Arabidopsis thaliana: one gene and its partners. The protein of the gene in region 3 interacts with the protein of the main gene of each other region in a pairwise test. Each region holds a gene or a part of one and is shown on either strand. Other genes may lie near its edges.

What was found.
Region 1: the proteins of ARF4 (region 3) and ATAUX2-11 interact in a two-hybrid assay, tested with the Arabidopsis thaliana proteins (one large-scale study listed by BioGRID).
Region 2: the proteins of ARF4 (region 3) and IAA6 interact in a two-hybrid assay, tested with the Arabidopsis thaliana proteins (one large-scale study listed by BioGRID).
Region 4: the proteins of ARF4 (region 3) and IAA15 interact in a two-hybrid assay, tested with the Arabidopsis thaliana proteins (one large-scale study listed by BioGRID).

The regions. Positions count from the first base shown.
Region 1 is NC_003076.8:17,548,035-17,553,173, forward strand, and holds ATAUX2-11 (AUX/IAA transcriptional regulator family protein), read left to right. Parts: upstream 1-2,144; 5' UTR 2,145-2,430; coding exon 2,431-2,609; intron 2,610-2,701; coding exon 2,702-3,004; intron 3,005-3,093; coding exon 3,094-3,172; 3' UTR 3,173-3,681; downstream 3,682-5,139. Other genes in the region: AT5G43695 (uncharacterized protein), read left to right, coding at 215-254, 336-517; AT5G43710 (Glycosyl hydrolase family 47 protein), read right to left, coding at 4,218-4,505, 4,741-4,945, 5,033-5,103. UniProt on the Arabidopsis thaliana protein: Aux/IAA proteins are short-lived transcriptional factors that function as repressors of early auxin response genes at low auxin concentrations.
Region 2 is NC_003070.9:19,671,116-19,675,600, reverse strand, and holds IAA6 (indole-3-acetic acid 6), read left to right. Parts: upstream 1-1,948; 5' UTR 1,949-2,041; coding exon 2,042-2,441; intron 2,442-2,633; coding exon 2,634-2,724; intron 2,725-2,852; coding exon 2,853-2,931; 3' UTR 2,932-3,125; downstream 3,126-4,485. Other genes in the region: CDT1 (cadmium tolerance 1), read left to right, coding at 3,741-3,789, 3,937-4,076. UniProt on the Arabidopsis thaliana protein: Aux/IAA proteins are short-lived transcriptional factors that function as repressors of early auxin response genes at low auxin concentrations.
Region 3 is NC_003076.8:24,307,141-24,315,226, reverse strand, and holds ARF4 (auxin response factor 4), read left to right. Parts: upstream 1-2,442; 5' UTR 2,443-3,039; coding exon 3,040-3,414; intron 3,415-3,556; coding exon 3,557-3,613; intron 3,614-3,875; coding exon 3,876-4,061; intron 4,062-4,159; coding exon 4,160-4,244; intron 4,245-4,327; coding exon 4,328-4,418; intron 4,419-4,541; coding exon 4,542-4,703; intron 4,704-4,800; coding exon 4,801-4,920; intron 4,921-5,002; coding exon 5,003-5,078; intron 5,079-5,177; coding exon 5,178-5,343; intron 5,344-5,444; coding exon 5,445-6,133; intron 6,134-6,227; coding exon 6,228-6,418; intron 6,419-6,500; coding exon 6,501-6,669; 3' UTR 6,670-6,972; downstream 6,973-8,086. Other genes in the region: AGL62 (AGAMOUS-like 62), read right to left, coding at 7,707-8,086. UniProt on the Arabidopsis thaliana protein: Auxin response factors (ARFs) are transcriptional factors that bind specifically to the DNA sequence 5'-TGTCTC-3' found in the auxin-responsive promoter elements (AuxREs). Could act as transcriptional activator or repressor.
Region 4 is NC_003070.9:30,220,338-30,225,006, reverse strand, and holds IAA15 (indole-3-acetic acid inducible 15), read left to right. Parts: upstream 1-2,237; 5' UTR 2,238-2,304; coding exon 2,305-2,507; intron 2,508-2,599; coding exon 2,600-2,786; 3' UTR 2,787-2,987; intron 2,988-3,163; 3' UTR 3,164-3,378; downstream 3,379-4,669.

The DNA of each region.
Region 1 (5,139 bases), 6.8 Mb from region 3:
TCATATAATTTTACTTAGTCAATAACTGGACTTTTTCCTTGTAATTTGATAAGTATTTATTTGGCTGGTAACAAAAACAAAATAATTAGTAATTTACAGTAGATCCCTTTATATAACTATTGTATCTAGAAATAGTTGTACTTCTACGTATTGGGGAGTACCCCGAGTTTTGTGTAACAACTTCCGCTATATATTGTAAAGTAAAAAAATACCAATGAAGTTTGCTTTCCTTATCTGCCTAATTGTTACATCAGGTAAAATTTATATTTCACGTGTGAAGCAAATAACAAAAATCTATATACAAAATTTGTTATTTATAGTTTCTGATTTTGTAGTGATGAGTATCGTTACTGTTCGAAATGTTGAGGCGAAAAGGTTATTACTTGAAGAAATTCCTCAGTTGCATCATGAAGGTTCGCCGCAGGTAGTGAAATTACTGGATGATGACTGCATGGATGGATGTCATATGAAATGTATTCCTAACAACAGAATTACTCCTTGTTTATGTCTATGTTAATTTTCCGTTTTCTTTTTTGAATAAGATATGTTTTCACTAATAATAAAACTTTGTTGCATAGTCCATACAAAAAATATTGAACATTATGTAAAAAAATTCAAAAAAGATAGTTAAGAACAAATTCAACATGGAAGAGGTGATGCCTAATTTTTCATCAAACCAGCCACCATTAGAATAATCACTAGGATGATATAAAAGCATATATATTGCCCACCAACTATAACTTATGAAGCTGTATATGTATGATCATGTGTGTAGCTGTTTTATATCATTTATTGGATCCAACGGTGGATCAATCCAACATAGAGTCCAAAAGAACCGGAACCGGAGAGAATGCCATGAACCGGTTTGTTGTTAGATACGTCTCATTTTCAGTATTTGATTTCTAGCTAAATAAGCTAGTCATGAACTTAAATCTCTAACGCCAACCATGCAATGAAACCAACTTTTCACATTTCAAATCGAACCCAAAGTCTTGTCGTCTACCGTGTAACAATAAATACCAAACTCACTACCTTTAAAATTCTCCTTTTTGAGACCAATTCGGATAAAACCAACAATCTCCTAAATGTTCACTTCCCAAATGTCGTAATCCATAAATCATACTCAAGAAGAAGGATTTAGACTATTAGGAGGTCATGTGCCAAAAATAACATAATACTAATGATAAATTAATCACAAATATTTAAGCACCATTTAGAATCATCAATCACAGTGGATTAGTGTTGGATTTGATTCTATTGAAATCCATGACTGAATAATACCCCTTAATGTGTAACGATTCAAAACTTTTTCTACAGAAAAAAAAAATTTGAAATCGAGACTAAACAAACTTAGGATAAAAAAATAGTCTTGAACATAGGTTTTCAAATTTGGTCCTCCAAAGAGATTAGGTTAGGTTTGGTTTACATTGGTTCACTAAAGCATGACAAGTACATAAACTGCCTTGCTGTAGTAACATGAAAACAAAGTCAGAGAGAAATCAAAACCCAAAACGATAAGACCCCATAGATAATGAACTGTCTAAAGACAAAACCTTTTGGCAAGATTTCTTGTCAGTTTGTTCCTGGATTCATATATATAAAGATCATTAGAAGTTTCATAGAGACAGAGAGACAAATTAAGTTGGGACTTTCATGAAAACTAGTAAAGAAAAACAAATAGTATAATTTTAACTCAAATACTATTTGTTTTTCTTTACTAATACTCTCGAAAGTCCCAACTCAAATACTAGTTGGACACACATGAAGCTACCAATCAGACCCAATGAAACTCAAAATCTTATCCTCCAAACACAGAAAAAAAGACTATGAATATGTTTGACTTTAGACAGCTAGAGTTTCAACTCAATTGACTAGGATGATCTAATCCTGATATCACATGAACCACAAATAGATGAAAGAGTAAGTTCTTGGCTTTAAGAGAGAGAGAGAGAGGTGACAAATGCATATGGCAGACCACAGTACATGTAATGCTTACCCTACAATAACTCAATGCTTGAACAAAAGAGAAAGGTTTTTTATATTCTGCACATGAGTGTACCATACTCTACCCCACTTCCTTGAATTAGGGCTACAGAGAAATGAATCTAGACCGTCCTCTAAAATCAAAGAAAGTATCTTTCTTTGTGTTGAAGATGAAAGTGTCCCACAAATGTCCCCAAAATGATGGGACACACTTTGCCTCAAAGTTGCTGCTACTGTTTACTACCCGACAGCTTTAGCTTTTGCCTTTGTCCTTAAATCAAGTTAATCCCATTTTTTCTAAATTACCAAAAAAGTGACTTTTCAATTCCTATAAAACAATCTTCTTCACAAAGCCTCTTATCTCATCAACAAGTCTTTCTCTCTCTCTAGACAACCACAAGAACACAAAACACACAAAAACAAAGAGGTTCTTTCTTTGAAGAAGAAATGGAAAAAGTTGATGTTTATGATGAGCTTGTTAACCTAAAGGCAACAGAGCTGAGATTGGGATTACCAGGGACAGAAGAAACTGTTTCTTGTGGAAAAAGCAACAAAAGAGTTTTACCTGAAGCTACTGAGAAAGAGATTGAATCCACTGGAAAAACTGAAACCGCTTCTCCTCCAAAGTAAGTGTTTGAATCAAATACAACTTCTCTGAAAATGTGTGTTGAGTTGTGAATCTGATCTAATCTAATCTATGCTATTTCTTGTTTTATAGGGCTCAGATTGTTGGATGGCCACCAGTTAGATCTTACAGAAAGAACAATGTTCAGACAAAGAAGAGTGAATCTGAAGGTCAAGGAAACTATGTGAAAGTAAGTATGGATGGTGCTCCATATCTAAGGAAGATAGATCTAACGATGTATAAACAATATCCAGAGTTGATGAAATCACTTGAAAACATGTTTAAATTCTCTGTGGGAGAATATTTTGAGAGAGAAGGATATAAAGGCTCAGACTTTGTACCTACTTATGAAGACAAAGATGGTGATTGGATGCTTGTTGGTGATGTTCCTTGGGAGTAAGTACAAATTTTCATTTATCTCTCAAATTAGTTAACTTATGACACAATCTTGTTTATGTATTTATGGTGTTTTGTTGTTATTGCAGGATGTTTGTTTCGTCTTGTAAGAGGCTAAGGATCATGAAAGGATCTGAAGTTAAAGGTTTAGGTTGTGGTGGTCTTTAACAAACCTAATTGAGAGATAAAGATCAAAGAGAAAGATTCAAAAACAGAGTTTTTTGTTCTGTTTCTTGAAACAGAGTAAATATAGCTCTGAAACTGCTCGGGTTCTTGGGGAGAGATGTTTCATACAATCATACTTTGTGAATGTTTACCTCATCGGTAAAAAGAGAGATGCTTAAAATGGTCTTAAGCATAAAAGTGTGAGAAAGATCTAAATCTAAACTTTAGCTGTAACTCTGTCTCCATTAAAGAGAAAGGTTTTGTGGTATTAGAAAGATCTAATCTGAAGATTATCTTTGTGTTTTTCACTTTTTATAATGTTCTTATCGAACAACTTTGATGTTTTTGATGTAATTACCCATTTTTCTGTTCTGTTTCTCTTCAAATTAAGATCTGTCTTTACAAAACTGTAACACAGAACATTAAACCTAACTTGTAGATGAACACAACGAAGACAAATCATTAAACCAAAGCTGCTTTATGGTAAAAATAATAATCCCAGCTTCTAAACATATATCATTGGATTCTAGTTTCTTTAAACTTAGATTATACATGTTTAGTCACCAAGATTAAAGAAATAAGAAATCTAATCGAGCAGTGAGAATATTTTTGGGGCTTTGGAAATGTTTATATTATCTTTTGTTGTTACCAACTGTGACTTTGGTCCCCCATACCTTAAACAAGTAAATCTACCCAACTGTGCTAATTTGTCTCCACTATCACTTATAATAATCTATGAACCTTGGAACTAGAGTAATATTTTAAAATGGTATAGATAGGTTCATTGAATTTAGGTTTTTCCTTTGTGCACCAACAATTTTTACATTCATACCTAATGTTCTTGATGCAAGATGATTATTAAGTCAAGAATTTTACCAAATACTTAAACCTAGTTGTCTCGATGATGATGATGATGATTATGATGAGACAACAATCGATCAACAAAAGAAGGATTCAAGATTCTTGATGAGATTGGAAAACTGAATCTATATTTCTAACAAAAGTTTTTGTAATCTTCTTCTGTGGAACATATATATAAATGAGAGATTTAAGAAGAGTATGATCTTTGATCATCAGTTTCTGACTCTAACAAGGTTAGCTCTTGACCTGTTTGGTCGTTGCTACTACCACCAGAGATTGTCATTATTGGTTCAGACTGAGAAGTAAATCCTTCTTCTTCCTGTGGTCTCTTCTCCACTGTTTGATCCGAGATTAACACAATTGAACTGCTTGTAACTACCGGTTTAGGTTGATTAACATCTTCACGATCTGTCTTCTCCGGTAGAACATACGAAAAACCATATTTCTGAGCATGTGTTAGTCCTGGACATAAACCCTACAAAAACCCCAAAACAAAAGAAACTGACTTTGATGAAAGAAAGAAATATTTTTATTTCTGGTACTGGCCTTTATCAAACCGGTAACTGGAAAAGATTCGTGGTAAGGAATCCGAAAGAAAGAAAGAAACATTTTTATTTCTGGTACTGACCTTTATCAAACCGGTAACTGGAAAAGATTCGTGGTAAGGAATCCGAAAGAAAGAAAGAAACATTTTTATTTCTGGTACTGACCTTTATCAAACCGGTAACTGGAAAAGATTCGTGGTAAGGATAATCGTTACTGTGATCATCGTTACTACTGTCTTCTCCAAGGACTTCTTGTTCTAGTTTTGTGGAATTGCTTGGACAGTATCCACCAAAGTAAGAGCAATGTTCCCGAGCTAGAGATATTTGTGGTGTTATTGGTAAGAGATGACCCTCAGTACTGAAGATGTACCTGAAGATTAAGTAAAATTATCAAGATTAGTGAATTGTTGTGGTGTTTGTGAAAATCAAGAGGTTAATGTGGAGGAGATATTTATACTTGTAAGGGCCATTGTCTACGAGGTTATCCGAGTCAACAGCTAAGTCAAAGAGTAGCCATAAGTACTTCACCTGAAATATTTTTGAAACAAAAACAAGTCAAGGCTT
Region 2 (4,485 bases), on a different chromosome or scaffold from region 3:
GGGATTGTTTCCATCGCAAATTGTCCTCGCAAATCGCTTGTTTTCTTGTAGTGGTATTTGGAAGTTTATAAGGTTTATCAACTCCAACTTAAATACTTCTTCCGTCTTTGATACTAGATGTTTAAATGTTTTGCACACAAATTAATTAATCATTTATTTTTATTTATTTTTTAAACTAAAAATCATTTATTATGTACCTAAATACGATTCAACAAATAATAAAACAACCTACAGAACTTAAATCGTGAAAACAATTAAAAAAATTTACATTGAAAGTTGAAAACATTATCTAGTTTAAAACACATTTTTTTTCTTCTCTAAAATATGAAATATATAAAAATATCAAACTGAATCATTCTTTTTTCTTCTTCTTATGATCTCTGTCTTTCTGTTAGATTATATATATGAGAATCTTATATTTGTATATATCTAATATCTTAGGAACAGATTTATGCTTATCTCATGTAACCCTATATATATGTTCAATACATAACTCTCCATTCACGGAGATTCATACAATTACACTTTCATTATCATCACACTTGTAAATACTGAATTTTATAGTTGCCTTCATGATTTCGAACTAGATATATATTCTGTTGGTTCTGATTACATTTATATACATAAATTTATTCCAAGTTGCGTGTTATTTATTTGATCAGAATTAGTATATGACCCAAAAATAAATATTCAAATCAAAGTTCATGCGGTTTCATCATTTAGCTACGCGATGTAGGAACATACTTGACATCTTATTTTTATTTGGTCGTTCTTCTCTATGAATCACGTGGAAAAGTATACCAAATGATTTTTGGCAGATACGTATTACTAAAGTATCCGAGATTAAATATTAATACACTATATAGAAGAATTAATGGGACATAAATCATAAATGCATGGAAACATTGGTGAAAGACACTTAACACTTGGGACGACCAATGTTGTTTGATATGAAGTGAAATTAACGCGTCTGCCTAATTGTTATGGTTCATATTATGTCACATGGACCAACTTCTTGTTCTTCTTCATTCAAGAACCAACTCACGTACACGTTTTTTCATTTTCTTCCCTCAAATATCTAGCTGTATATTATATTGCAAAATCCAGATTTGAATATGATCGATGCAAAAGATTGTTTATAGAGTAGAGTAGTAGACTAAAGAACCAGATTACTCTTACCTATTCAGATTATTTGTGTTATATTTTGTAACTAACTTAGGTCACTAAGTAACGAATTTAAAGCTAAATGCATCTATTCATTCTATCACAAAATCCAGCCGTTATTTTTTAGAAATGTGAACAAATATTAAGCATTAAGATATTTAAAATAGGAAAAATAATAGCCACAAATAAAGTAAATTAAAGAAGAAAAAAAAAAACATTAGTGATAGTCCGATGATAGACGTGTCCTATTGATTACATGTTATTTCCCACTCAACTTCCTTAATTCTAATTCCAATCCTTGATGTGAGGGTTTTTTTCTTCATTGATTCTCAAATCTACATTATGTGATTCTTGATGTACCTGTATGTACAATTTGTATTCAACTACCAAATAAAAATGTGAGCAAGAATAGGCTAAGAAATAATACTAATACAGTATCCTTAGAATACATAATTGTATATTATTAAGGATAACACATGTAATGTTTAGGAAAGATGGCCAATGATAAATCTTATAAGAAACCTAACAAATATTAACACCGGTAAGATTTGTTCTCTTAAAACAAATCCTATATAAACAAAAATGAAGAACAAGGACCCAACATATGTCTCTCATGTGACCGACCAACACATCCTCAGTTGACCTGTCTTTGGTCTAACCTTGTCTTCCTCCACAAAGCTAACAGAAATAATTATGAATGTTAGTCTCTTCCATGTGTCAGTATATTATTGGATCTTGTTGGAGCAACTTGACAACATATAAAAGCACGAGGCAGCTCAATACTATCATTCCAACAAGAGAAGTGCTTGAGAGAAAAAAAAAGTATCAAAACTTCATATAGCCAAATTTAAACAAAAAGAAAAAAGAGAAGAAATAAATGGCAAAGGAAGGTCTAGCACTCGAGATCACAGAGCTTCGATTGGGTCTTCCAGGAGATAATTATAGCGAAATATCAGTATGCGGATCGAGTAAGAAGAAGAAGAGGGTGCTCTCGGATATGATGACCTCATCAGCGTTAGATACTGAGAATGAAAACAGCGTCGTTTCATCAGTTGAAGATGAATCACTGCCGGTTGTGAAGAGTCAAGCGGTGGGATGGCCACCTGTGTGTTCTTACAGGAGAAAGAAGAACAATGAGGAAGCATCGAAAGCTATAGGCTACGTGAAAGTGAGCATGGATGGTGTGCCATACATGAGGAAGATTGACCTTGGTTCGAGCAACAGTTATATTAATCTAGTCACGGTTCTTGAGAATCTCTTCGGCTGTCTTGGCATAGGTTAGTAATGGCATGGACTAATTTCCCGTAACGTTAGTTAATAGTTACATGACCATGTTTATAATTGAGCTATAAACTTTATATATACGTATTGTTAGGGTTTCTATATATATTGGAAGTGTGAAGAGAGTAAAACACATATATTAGTTGGAACTTTATGAAATATAACACATGTATATATAAACTATGCAGGAGTGGCGAAGGAGGGTAAGAAGTGTGAATACATTATTATATACGAAGACAAGGATAGAGACTGGATGCTCGTCGGAGATGTACCTTGGCAGTAAGTTTATGTTTAGCTTGCATTACAATGCTCAATTATCAAATTTACCAAAATGAATATAATTAACCTCTTACAAGTCAAAAATTTGTAATTTTATTTTTTAAATTGTAAATTTTTTTTGTCGGCAGGATGTTTAAAGAATCATGCAAGAGGCTGAGGATCGTGAAGAGATCAGATGCAACTGGTTTTGGTCTCCAGCAAGATTAATCATACTAGCTAGTGTTGATCATCTTTAATTAACCATAAAGTTTGAAAACCGTTGAGTAATTTTTTTTCATTATAATCATTTTTCAAATTGTAAAATTTATATGATAATGATGATATATACGTTTTCTTCAAATGTATTTCCTTACTGGTCGTATCATACTTTAATGTTTTATGGCTCATTAAAGGTGTTTCTTAGCCTCACAATACTTTTTTTTTTCGTCTGAATGATTCATATGAAATATAACACTTGAAATTGTTCACAAAAGTACAAAAGGAAACGAGGGTAATCAACTACAAAAAAACCATAACAACAAAGTAATGCCTCACAATAGTTTGCTTTAGTAGTTTTCTAGACTTACTATTATTTTCTCTTAAAAATCAAGTGGTACGTGATTATTATAACTTTATAAATCCTCCGGCTAAATCATCTTTTTATCGCCGATCCAAAGATAGTGGAAACCTATGAATCTTAAACGGAGCTAAAAATAGTGAAAACCTAATGAATCTTCCCAACTAATTTAAGAAAGAATGAAAAATGTTAAATATTTGTTTTTTTCTTTCACCAAGAGCCAAATTAAAGCTGGCTTATTCCTATATCATATCAAATGTAGTTTTGGGTGAAGATTCTAACCACTTTGTCGGTCCAAATAAATGTTGCCATATCTTCCGTATTAAATGATCATATCAGTTTGCAGGTAGCAGATTTGAAGTCTATATATATACTACATCCAATTAATCCCAACCCCTAAAGTTATCAAGACACTCACGCAAAAGAATGAAGGCACCGCCACAACAAGAAATGACTTACTATGACAATGTCAAGAAACGGCAAGACGAACAAGGCTGCTTATTCGCAACGTCCGTACCAAAATATAATCTCTTCTCTTTTCATTTAGTATCTGTATCGTAGACCCTTTTGTATCATTTAGTATCTCTTCTCTTTTCTTTTTTTATTTATCGAATTCGGAGTTCTTGATTATTTGATAATCTTTTAACCTGTTGTAGGTTTTACGCGTTGTTCTGTTGCTGTTGCTGCTACGAGAAGTGCAAGTGTTGTTGCTGCTGCGTTTGATTTCTATATATGTATCATCATCTCAACATTACTCTCATTAATTGTGTCCCTCGCATCACAATTGCTCTTTTAGATCTACTTAGTCTTGCGAATAAAATGTATATGTAATGGCTCAAGAACTCTAAAAGTTGATAAGATTTGAGTACTGTATATATTAATGAACAAATTTTCACTTATCAAACCGGGCGAAACCGGGCCAACCAGTCAAATTTTCTGTATAATTCGCTTTCAAGTTATGTTCACCTAAATTTTGAACCGATTCCAAACAATACCAAACCGAACAAAATCACAAATGGTTTTATTGTTTTATAAACTGACTGATAAAACTAGAAACCAAAATTACCGCCAAAATCAAATATTGGTTTAAAACTTTAAATACACAAGTTTTTTTTTTTTCTTCTTCTTAAAATACATTAGAATTGGTTTCGATTATTTTTCAATTAATCGGATTTTATAAATAAATTCAAATTACCTTTGGTTTA
Region 3 (8,086 bases):
GTTTTTGGTCCAAAACTAACTCACATCATAAAATTCAACCGTGGGACTTCTCACAATATAATCAAATTAGATGTCTTTTCTAAAATTGTACAAAATCGACTTTCTTAGTAAAATATTATTTTAGTTAGGAAATTAAGAAACATGAAAATGAGATACGATCCACTCTTTCTTTTTAGTACTAATTAAAAAAAGATAATCTTTGACTAAAAGTTATGATCAGCAGACAGAAGAATATGGTAATCATATCATTAAGAATAAGAGATTACACGTTTCGAATTATGGTGCAACATCAGAATAAACAAGATATATATTTCTAATCAGAAGTACTAAAGAAAAAAAGTGAGAATATTAAGCTAGTTTTAGAAGGAGTATGTTGCATGAAAAATGTAAGAAAAACAATAAAGAAGGTGGGGGCCAAAGAGGCAGCAAATATCAAGGGGGTCTTTGTTAGTTGTTGGGACTCAGTCACTAACTCACAACTTCTGAAGAAGAGACTCATTCTTTCTCCTTCTCCCATCCCATCATCCTTTTTGTTTTCTTCTTTTCTTATTCTTTTTTTTCTTCTCCAATGAAGTTACGAAAGGTTATTACTCATAATCAAATGTTTTTAAAAGTAGATAATTAAGTAAGTTGCGAAATTGTGAAAGGAATATACAAAACATAATATGATACTTTGATCAGGTTATATGAATTAGTAGCAAACTAATATTATATGAGCAAAAATACATGTTACTAGATTTTAACCCGCGGTACACCGCGGACACAGTTCATTTTTAAAAATTAATATATATAAAAATTTGTAAATTATTTTATAGTTTACCATTGTTACTAAGTAACGTCCTGCCAAACCCGTCCTGCCAAACCCGTCCACAAAAAAAAACTATTTATTTTATTAATGTTGATCTTATTTATAATATGTTTATGAATCATTGTCAAAATATTTTAGTCGTTGCGGGACGTTGTACCCACACATTTTTCGCCAATTGGTTAATATATGTTCATTCTTAAAATTTCGAATTACAAAATATGACGAAATTTTTTTTGAGATTTTTTTAAACTTTATATATTATATAATGATGTTAATTATTTTTGATAGATTAAACTTTTTATAAATTCAAATATTAATAATGTTTTATGAAGTTTAAATATACAAATAATAATATTTAAAAAATTAATATTTTTTGCCTTTTAGGTAAATGATATAATAACTCTAAAAGCAAAATTTAAAAGATTTAAATCTTTAAATAAATATTTTCATGCCTAAATAATTAATGTCAGTAGCATGACATTGTAAATAAGTTCAAATACATGATTTGTTTATTTAAACAAAAAATATTTAGTAAGAACAATATTTATTTAAACAAAAAATTTTGTTAATAAAATACGTTTATGCTAATTTTAAGGGATTGATGTGAAGTTTGTTTGGATTAAATTTGATTGATAATGTGATTGACAATTTAAATTAAAAATTTAAAGTAAAATTAATTATTTTGAAAAAAAGATTTAATGCTAATGGCATTGGGTTGTAAATAAGTTCAACTCTAAGATTTATTTGCTAAAATGACTGCAAAAATGTATATATAAATGTTTTCAAATTATGAAGCAATCATTTGGACCATCAAATATATTTTATTTATTTTTACTAAACCCATTTGAAGATATTTATCCAATAAGTAGTAAGTATTTGAGTAGTTTTATTTTACTGAAAGAGTCGGTGTGGTTATTGAAGTATAAATTTTATATTACAGACCGCTGAAAGTTTTTTTTAGTTGATTAGGTTTTTAAACACAGACAGTACTTTAGTTAATCAATAACAAAATGCTGATTTTCATATTGTTTGTCTCAGAAAAAGAGAGAAAAAGTGCTTTTGTTACAAAATCGAAAGGAGCCTACTCTTCTGTCTTTAGCCGGTTGGTTGGCTCTTAACAACGCAATGAAAAAGCATTTTTTCTAATAAATCGAAAACAAATAAAAATTCATAACATAAAAAAAGAAAGAACAAAGAAAGATTCCAAAGAGATACTGTTTCCTTTGTAAGAGTATGCAAAGAAAAAGCTAATCAATTTGCGGTTTTTATTCCTCACAACTCACACAAGTTAAAGAAAATTATGGTGTGAATGAGAAAAACAAAGGGTTACGTCAATTTCGTAATACCATAAATCCAATAGATGCATATAAACTTTGATGGTTCATTTTGAGTGAATAGTCTAGTATGAATAATTAAACGATTGATTCATCGATGGTTTGACGTATTTAAAAAACAGTTGATTTTGAAGAAAACAATCTAGACAATGGATTGAATTAGTCTTATTAGCACCTAATTAAACTTTTAACATTTCTTCTTTCAACAAAAAGGACGAAAATCAAAAACGGTAATAATTAGCAAAAAAGTGAAAACTTTTATTTTGTGTAAACGTGTGTATATTGACACAAATATAGTTTTTATATATAAAATTTCATGTGAATAAATAAGTCTTTATTGGGAAACAAAAACAAAAAAGAGAGAAGAAGAGGAAGAAGAAGAAGAAGGAGAAAGGGAGAGTGTAGGTGTGGGTTCTGTTCTGTCTTGGCTTTGTCTCCCCCGCTTATCTCTCCCTCTCTTTCTCTCTCTCTCTCTCTTTCCACTAAATTGTTTTTTTTTTGCTCTTTAAAAAGTATATTTTTTTCCAATCTGCAAATTTTAGTCTATGTCTGTTCCTTGTGCTCCCTCTTCTCAGTACCTGCAAATGGAGGAAGAAGAATCCTTCTCTGAAACCCTTGTTCTCATTTGATTCCTCCTTCCTCTCTCTTCTTCTCTCTCTGTCTCTGATTCGTTATTCCACACTTATGACTCATCTTTCCCGTCAATAGCTAAGTTTGCCTCTTCTTTGTGAAATTTAGCTGAAAAAGGAGAGGAATTCCGAATTCTGTCACTTCAAAGCTCGAATTTTGCAAACTTTCCTTTGATGGGTTTTACTTGTTTTGTTGTAATCTGATTAAAAATAGAAACTTTTTGTTTTCTTCTTGTCTCCTTTTGCTCTTAAAAGAGAAGCTTTTTCAATGGAATTTGACTTGAATACTGAGATTGCGGAGGTGGAAGAGGAGGAGAATGATGATGTAGGAGTAGGAGTAGGAGGAGGAACAAGAATTGACAAGGGTAGGCTTGGAATTTCACCATCTTCTTCTTCTTCATGCTCTTCCGGATCATCATCGTCATCATCTTCTACAGGCTCTGCATCTTCCATTTACTCTGAGCTTTGGCATGCTTGTGCTGGTCCTCTCACTTGTCTTCCCAAGAAAGGCAATGTAGTTGTCTATTTCCCTCAAGGTCATTTGGAGCAAGATGCTATGGTTTCATATTCGTCTCCTCTTGAAATCCCCAAATTTGACCTTAATCCCCAAATCGTCTGCAGGGTGGTTAATGTCCAGTTGCTTGTAAGTCTGTCTGTATCACTCTACCCAAATAAAGAACATTCCTTTTGTGTTCTATTTTACTATTCTTGAACAAGTTCTGTTTTCTTTCTCTAATTGTGGTAATTGTTTGCAAACTTGGTTCCTTCTTTTGGGGAAACAAAAGGCTAATAAGGACACCGATGAGGTCTACACTCAAGTCACTCTGCTTCCACTTCAAGAGGTACTCTCTTTTACTCAAACTTGTTGCTTTTTTGACAATTCAATTGATTTTTGATATCACTAGTGTAATTCCAGATTCTAGGTGTGATTTTAGATGCTACGGTTTAAAGAGATTGTGAATAATCTTGTTTGTTCTCTAAGTGACTCAAACTCATCATTGGTTTAACAGGATCAGAGGAATCACTGAAACCGTTGGTCTTGTTGAGTTTCATTTATAATCTCTGTGATGTTAAGATGCTGAAGTAACTTCTTGGTTTTTATAGTTTTCGATGCTAAATGGGGAGGGGAAAGAGGTCAAGGAGTTAGGAGGGGAGGAAGAGAGGAACGGAAGCTCATCCGTCAAGCGGACACCTCATATGTTCTGTAAAACCTTAACAGCGTCTGACACAAGCACACATGGAGGCTTCTCTGTACCTAGAAGAGCCGCTGAAGATTGTTTTGCTCCTCTTGTATAATTCTCTATATCTCATTTCCTTATTTTTTTTTTTAAGGAGAGGTTTTATCTTCTTGTTATAAGCCTTATTTGTGAATTTTCCACTGGTGTTAGGACTACAAACAACAGAGGCCATCTCAAGAGCTCATTGCAAAGGACCTCCATGGAGTAGAGTGGAAGTTTCGCCATATCTATAGAGGTGGTTTTGAGTTTGTTATTATTCGTTTCTTTTTTCTTCGTCAGTGAAACCAAAATGTTTAGTTCTGTCTCTTTTTAATATAGGTCAACCAAGGAGGCATCTACTCACCACTGGTTGGAGTATCTTTGTCAGTCAAAAGAATCTCGTCTCTGGTGATGCGGTTCTCTTTCTGAGGTAATCGTAAGATTTCAGTTTATCAAATGGTGATGTAGATTCATGGTGTTTCCCTCTGCTTTGGTGGTTTGAAGCCCTTGATCCAATAATGTTTACATTCATTACTAATATCGGCGTTTATAGAGACGAAGGAGGAGAGCTGAGATTAGGAATCAGAAGAGCAGCACGGCCAAGAAATGGACTTCCTGACTCAATCATTGAGAAGAATTCATGTTCAAACATTCTGTCTCTTGTGGCTAATGCTGTATCTACAAAAAGCATGTTTCATGTGTTCTACAGTCCACGGTGAGATAAAAATGAAAAGCTGCCATTCGTAATGATTCTTAACTAGGTTCAGTAAGAAATAAAGAACTATAATGTTGATTTGTGGATTTATATACAGAGCGACGCATGCAGAGTTTGTGATTCCTTATGAGAAGTATATCACAAGCATCAGGAGTCCTGTTTGCATAGGCACAAGATTTAGAATGCGATTTGAAATGGACGATTCTCCTGAGAGAAGGTATTGTTTCTTTCTTGCTTCTTTCTCTGTGTTGTGTAGCTAATATTGTTGGACGAGAATTTATATTCGATCTTTCTTGCAGATGCGCTGGTGTAGTGACTGGAGTCTGTGACTTGGACCCGTATAGGTGGCCAAACTCTAAATGGAGGTGCTTGTTGGTGCGTCCTCTCATCTTTTTGGAGTATCTGTCTATTAACGTGTAGAAGACTTTTCATTTTCGAAGATTGATATCTAAATCTTTCACATTTGTTTGGCAGGTGCGATGGGATGAGTCTTTTGTGAGTGATCATCAAGAAAGAGTTTCACCTTGGGAGATTGATCCCTCGGTTTCTCTCCCACACTTGAGCATTCAGTCATCTCCAAGGCCTAAAAGGCCATGGGCAGGTTTACTGGATACTACCCCACCCGGAAACCCCATAACAAGTAAATTATATAGACCTCTCTTCTCTTTGGAGTATATGCTTTTGCAAACAGTTCTCAATTTTCATCAGTATATTATTGATAACTGTTCTTGGTTGCAGCAGAAAGGGGTGGTTTTTTGGACTTTGAGGAGTCGGTTAGACCCTCTAAGGTCTTGCAAGGTCAAGAAAATATAGGTTCTGCATCACCCTCACAGGGGTTTGATGTTATGAACCGCCGGATACTGGATTTTGCGATGCAGTCTCATGCAAATCCAGTTCTTGTGTCGAGTAGAGTCAAGGATCGATTTGGTGAGTTTGTAGATGCTACTGGCGTGAACCCAGCTTGTTCAGGTGTTATGGACCTGGATAGGTTTCCAAGGGTCTTGCAAGGTCAAGAAATTTGCTCGCTTAAATCATTCCCGCAATTTGCTGGTTTCAGTCCAGCTGCTGCTCCTAATCCCTTTGCTTACCAAGCCAACAAGTCAAGTTACTATCCGCTAGCTTTGCATGGGATTAGGAGCACTCATGTTCCGTATCAGAATCCATACAATGCGGGAAACCAATCCTCGGGTCCCCCTTCACGTGCAATAAACTTTGGTGAAGAGACTAGAAAGTTTGATGCACAAAATGAAGGTGGCCTACCAAATAATGTTACAGCTGATTTGCCATTCAAGATTGATATGATGGGAAAACAGAAAGGCAGTGAGTTGAATATGAATGCTTCATCAGGATGTAAACTTTTCGGATTCTCCTTACCAGTGGAGACACCTGCATCTAAGCCGCAAAGCTCGAGCAAAAGAATCTGTACAAAGGTAAAACGTTTTCTTTATCATCTCTTTGGCTACTTTGAGTTGCAGTTTTAGATGTCTCTTCTAATCAGTTCTTGTGTTGAATTGTTATCAAAAGGTTCACAAGCAAGGAAGCCAAGTGGGGAGAGCTATTGATTTGTCGCGACTTAACGGGTATGATGATCTCCTTATGGAGCTTGAACGGCTGTTCAACATGGAAGGGCTTCTCAGGGATCCTGAAAAAGGATGGAGGATCTTATATACTGATAGTGAGAACGATATGATGGTCGTTGGCGATGATCCATGGCAGTAAGTTCTTTATACATACCTTCTAAAGGTCAATCACAACTTCTTTTCTCCTAACTTGAAATTGGCTTTCTGCTATGGATAGTGATTTCTGCAATGTGGTGTGGAAGATACACTTATACACGAAAGAGGAAGTGGAGAATGCGAATGACGATAACAAGAGTTGTTTAGAGCAAGCTGCTCTCATGATGGAAGCATCAAAGTCATCTTCTGTGAGCCAGCCTGATTCTTCTCCTACAATCACTAGGGTTTGATACCCATAAAGAAGCTTATTTCCTATGTTTTAAAGTGTGTTTTGCTCACAAAAGAACTTCAACTTTATCTTTGTCTTTGAATCCATTTATGTGTTTGTTTGTGTTTCTTCTGGTCTCCATGGATGTCTCATGTGTACCGTTTTACTCGAGAGATATGTGAGTTTATGGGATGTGTAAAGCATGCCATTGGATTTTAAGGTTTTCAAAATTACAATATATATATTAGTTTTGAAGTATTTTGCTTGATTTTGAAAATTTCATTTCTTAAGTTCTTACATATGTGGATACTCTTGTATTGTTCTTACAATTTTTTTATTTATTTTTAGATTGATATCTAATACATACTAGATATTTGATGATGATTTAATCTTTTTTAAGGAAAATAAATATTAGAGTATACTGCACGGATTAATTAAATAGAATGATGTGACATAGATTTAGCCTTTTTTTCAACTAAAAGTTAACCTTAATTTTATTATATTTTCCTTAAATTTAACATTAATTTTATTATATTTTCTATATTAGAATTAGATTTTTATCATTTTAGGAATATTTCACAATATCTGTATTTCATCATTATAAGGAATGAAATTAGAGGGAAAGCCATTGTAATGCTGTCATTTCATTTTTTACAATGTACCAAAATATGTGGGATAATGTATGTACTATTTTAGTTGAAAAATGGTGCACACAGAAATTTTCATTATGCTTTTTTGCAAATTTATTTTAAAATAGTACATGATTGATTATGATTATTACCTTTCTGTGTTTAAAATTCTGCAATTGCCCAAAATGCGTAAACGTAACCATGGCAGACTAGTATTTTCAGAGGCGTAATGCATTTGTTTCCGACACATATAATTTATATATAGCAATAACATAATTTTGAAATGAAACAACACAATACAACATAATACTTAAACAAGAACAAGAAAAACAACAACAACACATGTAGAAACATAAATAAGAAGAAATAAAGATAACCTAAACACACAACTTTTTGTCTAGAGACTTAAGTTGGATCACACAACAAAGGGTTAATAGTAATCAGATCTAGACTGGGGAGGATAACCATGATGATGTTCATATTCAGAGATGTTTTCTCTCTTAAAACTCTGGTTTTGGATTTGGATTTGAACTTGATTTTGGTTTTGGATTTGGTTTTGGTTTGGGTTATACTCTGGTCTGAAGTTCACATTGTATTCTGGAACAAACCCTTCATTAATACCATAAGCATTGTTTCCAAAGGGTGGTAATGCATGATTAGGGTGAATTTGGTTCTGGTTGTAGTTGAAGGCATTTATGTCCATCATTCTTCTTTGGCTAAAGAGATCCATATCAGGGTTGATATGACTACCATCATCAATCCCAAAAGCAGCATTATTACTAGAACTTCCCACATAGAAGTTTGGAACAT
Region 4 (4,669 bases), on a different chromosome or scaffold from region 3:
ATTAAGCAATTTCCTTCCAGACAAAAACAAATCTCATAATAGTCTGAGGTTTATTGATTTGTCTATTCCCAAATCATTTCTTAAAATTCTATAATGTTTCTTTTGTCATTCTAAATTTTAAAATTATACTGTAAATGTTATTGATATATTTAGTTCTTAATAGAGTTTTAAACCCTTTTTTCTAATGCATGTTAAGACAAAGAAATTTAATATGAAGTTCATTATAGAGATATGACACTCTAATTATCTGGAACATAACGGAATAAGATCTTAATCAAATTCTGGATTCCGTTATGTAGATTTTTATGGAATGACAACAAAAGAAAGAAAAAATAACTGGGCTTATTTTGGGCTTGATACCATAATGGCATTATGATGTATCAAATCTGCCATGATGTATTCTTGACCCACTGTAGGAAACCTGGATTGGTTTGGGCTTAATTGGATAAACAATCTGTATAGAATTTACTGGTTTCGTAATTCTCTAAGTCTCGGACCGCTCTATTATGTTATCGCAATTTATTATACCCAAGTAAATGTCCAAGACATCAATATCAGTTTTCTAGAGCCTAAAAGCAGTTTCGATTATTTGAGACAAAAAGTATCAATTAACATTAAATACTAGCTACCAAATTTATGTACTTCTTATTATTATCTCACATATTTTGTTACGAGTCGAGTTAAATGAATTATACGACTGTTTCATTCCATGCGCATTATAACGAAAGAAAACAAACTTAGAAAACAATGGCTGACCGGAATTACCGGTCACGGGTTTGTAATCGAAACCGGTAAATTCGTCTATGTGTCGCCAGTAGGACCTATTAGCCCCTGGTTTAACTCTTATTGCCCTTATTGGTCTAAGAATAGTGTCGTGAACCATCGAAAAAATCATTTATGATTCTATGTTCCCCAACGAAAAACAGAGTCACGTGACTTACGCATGTGACCCTACGCTGCTGTAATTAATGTTCTGCTCTTTTCCTTTGTCTAAACTTTTTTGACATCTCATTTCATATTGCATGTAAATAATATGACTAATATGAAATTAATACCGGACACTGAAAAACTTTTCAGTAAAAACTTTATACTTGTTCACTAAAAAAGGGATAGTTATCTATCTCTAACTTTTTTTATCCCAAATCATGAAACTTTTAATCGCTTTTATACAATGATTGATGTTCATTATATATTTTATTTTAGATTTTATTTCAATTTTGAAGTAGAAGTTTCAACATTTAGTTCTGTTCACATTGTTTTTTTGGTGGGAACATTCTTTTCATTGTTTACAAGATCCACACGCATATTAGTTGGGATTTCTTCTGATATTCGGTGAAAGATTAAACTAATGAAGAAGTATTGTACCTAATTAGTGTGTAGTGTACGATGATAGATAATTAGGAATATATTGTTAGACCATGATTTGTTTTCGACCGACGACAGTGAAAGTTGATGTACATATATAATGGTGAAACTTTTTTACCAAGAAAAAGTTAGTTGGAATGATAATTTAAAGGAGTAAAGCGACAACAAAGTGTAGACAAAAGGAACACTATTGAAGATCTCTCCCGAAGAATATATTGGACTGAAGTTTTTTTTTTTTGGTCTAATGTTAAATTATTGGACTGAAGTTGACAAACACAAACAAATATATATGGGAATAAAGTTTATTATATTTTCCAACGATTATAAGCAAAGGTAACATGAATGCGATTAAAATGATATTTTCAACTCTATTTAGAAAGTAAATAATGGTATTTAGAATATATATTTTTCTCGTTTTGTGAATGCTAGTGGATAATATAATCAAATTATATATTTTTCTCCTTAATCGAACCCATCAGTCGTGACGTGGGAGCTTAAAGATCAGGGCTGATTTCTTCTTCTTCTTTCTTCTTTTTTAGTTGACAGTGATTTCTTCTTCTTCTTCTTCTTTTGATACCAGGCTAATAGAAATTAAAACTGAAAAGATATCCGTACACATGCAATTACATCCACTAATGACAGTTTAGAAGATGCTAAGTGGCTATAACTATAAATGAGCCCACACCACACGAAGTAGAAGCTAATCACCAAACTGTTCACTTGCTTTCGTGGAGATATAAAAACCGCCAGTTACAGGAAAACGTGTCATTATAGGTAGGGTTCACTAGTTTTTTAGCTGACAAGTATAGATCGACTATAAATACAAAGTTGGAAACCTCGAGAGTCTCACACACTCAAGCCAAAAGTTAGTGCCACATTGTCTCATCACTTTCCGCACTTTTGTTGTTAACTAACTTTCATAAATAGATTAAGATATTAATGTCACCGGAGGAATACGTTAGGGTTTGGCCGGATTCCGGTGATCTTGGAGGAACTGAGCTGACCCTAGCTTTGCCTGGCACTCCGACAAATGCATCGGAAGGTCCAAAAAAGTTCGGGAACAAACGTAGATTCCTCGAGACCGTTGATTTAAAACTCGGGGAAGCACACGAGAACAATTATATCTCAAGCATGGTCACTAAGTACGGCATATATATATTATATTAATTTCATTTATCGTTCATATAGGTCATATGCATGTTTGATTGATCTTCTTAATTTATTGTGGTTTTAGTGACCAGTTGGTGGGCTGGCCGCCGGTAGCGACAGCGAGGAAAACAGTGAGGCGGAAATACGTGAAAGTGGCGTTGGATGGTGCGGCCTATCTCAGAAAGGTTGATCTTGGGATGTACGATTGCTATGGACAGCTTTTCACCGCTCTAGAAAACATGTTTCAGGGGATAATAACAATATGTAAGTGATCGAGATAAGTAGGAAAAAATAAAGATTTTGATGTGTTTGGATGGACTGACGAAGTGAAGGATATTATGGTAAATTTACTTACACTTGGGGTTTTGGATGGTGGTAGGTAGAGTGACAGAGTTGGAGAGGAAGGGAGAGTTTGTTGCTACTTACGAGGATAAGGACGGTGACTTGATGTTAGTCGGAGATGTGCCGTGGATGTGAGTTCTCGGAATTACCCTTTGTGTTGCTTTTACGTACTTTTCCTTTTTTATTCAAAACTAGAATTTCTGTACTATTTTGTTACTTACATTCATATCAAAACTAGAATTACTGTATTATTCTGCTGTGAAGGAAACTAAATTTTCTTGGGATTGATGATATTTAATTTGTGTAGGATGTTTGTGGAATCTTGCAAACGTATGAGGTTAATGAAAACCGGAGATGCTATTGGATTATAGGTCTCTATTCTGCTTCCCACAACGTAAACGCATCGGATCTTCGAAAGGCTATATAAGATTATGATCACAAATGCATTAAATACTGTAGAGATGTATACAATTGCATTTTTGAATTGCAATATGCTATATATGTAATTTCAAACCTTTTTTGGCCGTGGATTTTGTATGTAATGTACTACTATTGTTTAAATGATTTTACTTTTTTTTTTTTTAATTCAATAATTACAAACCACTTTTAAGCATCAGTGCCGACCACCACGATCCGGGCATGACGACATCGACACTCGACAAGACGGGATGCTCAAAGTTTTAATATGTTTTTTTTAAAAAAATTACACGTTTCATTTTTATGCATTCGAATTTGTGCATTAAATGATCCTAGAGATCGTAATATAAAAGCGGATTTTTTTTTTTGTAAGAATGCTAGGTCTTGTAACATTTTTCTCTAGCACTCGTAGACCTTACTGTTATTGATTACATGCAGGAATATCAATAAACGAAGAACTAAAAATGGAATTGAATACTTGAGATTGACATTAAATTATCCTAGAGATCGTAATATAAAAGCGGATTTCTTTCTTGTAACATTTTTCTCTAGCACTCTGTATATATCTTATTGTTATTGATTACATGGCGGAAACATCTATTATCAATAAACGAAGTGCCATTTGAAAATTTAAAATTTTAACATTTATCCAAAAATAAACTTATAGTTTTAGTAGTAATGTAAAAATAGAATTTTAAAAACATTTGTTAAAAAAAAAAACAAGTGTTAAAAGTTTAAATAGTGTGTAAACCATTTTAAATCTAGGACACTTTTTAGGGGTTTGCATGTTGTGTCCAAATATATATACAAAATTTAAAAATTTAACACTTATAAAAAACAAACCCTTATAGTTTTAGTAGTAATATAAAAATACAAGTTTAAAAACATTTGTAAATAAAAGAAAAAAAATGTTAAAAATTTAAATAGTGTGTAAACCATATTGAACCTATGACACCTCTTAAGGGTTTGGATGTTGTGTCCAAATATTTACACAAAATTTAAAAATTCAACACTTGTAAAAAATAAACCTTATAGTTTTAATAGTAATATAAAAATATAATTTTAAAAACATTTTTAAATAAAATAAAAATAAGTGTTAAAATAGTAATGTTTTAGTGAAGGTTTTGTACTAATTAGTTTTGGTTTTACTTAAAATAAGTTATAAAGAAAAGAAAACAATTCTTAGCAAAAAAAAAAAAGAAGCAAAAGAAAAGAATGAAGAAAGTAATACCTTGTTGGATTTGGTAGCAAAGAAAGCCCATTGGAAGCCCACCGTGAGCCCACTTGGAAAATTTGAGAAGCTTCTTTCTTCTTCCTTTCATCAAAAGCCCATTGGAAGCCCATTGTTGCTTGCGTCTTTGTTGGAAACTCGTCTGAAATTGGTCGTCTTCTTCAT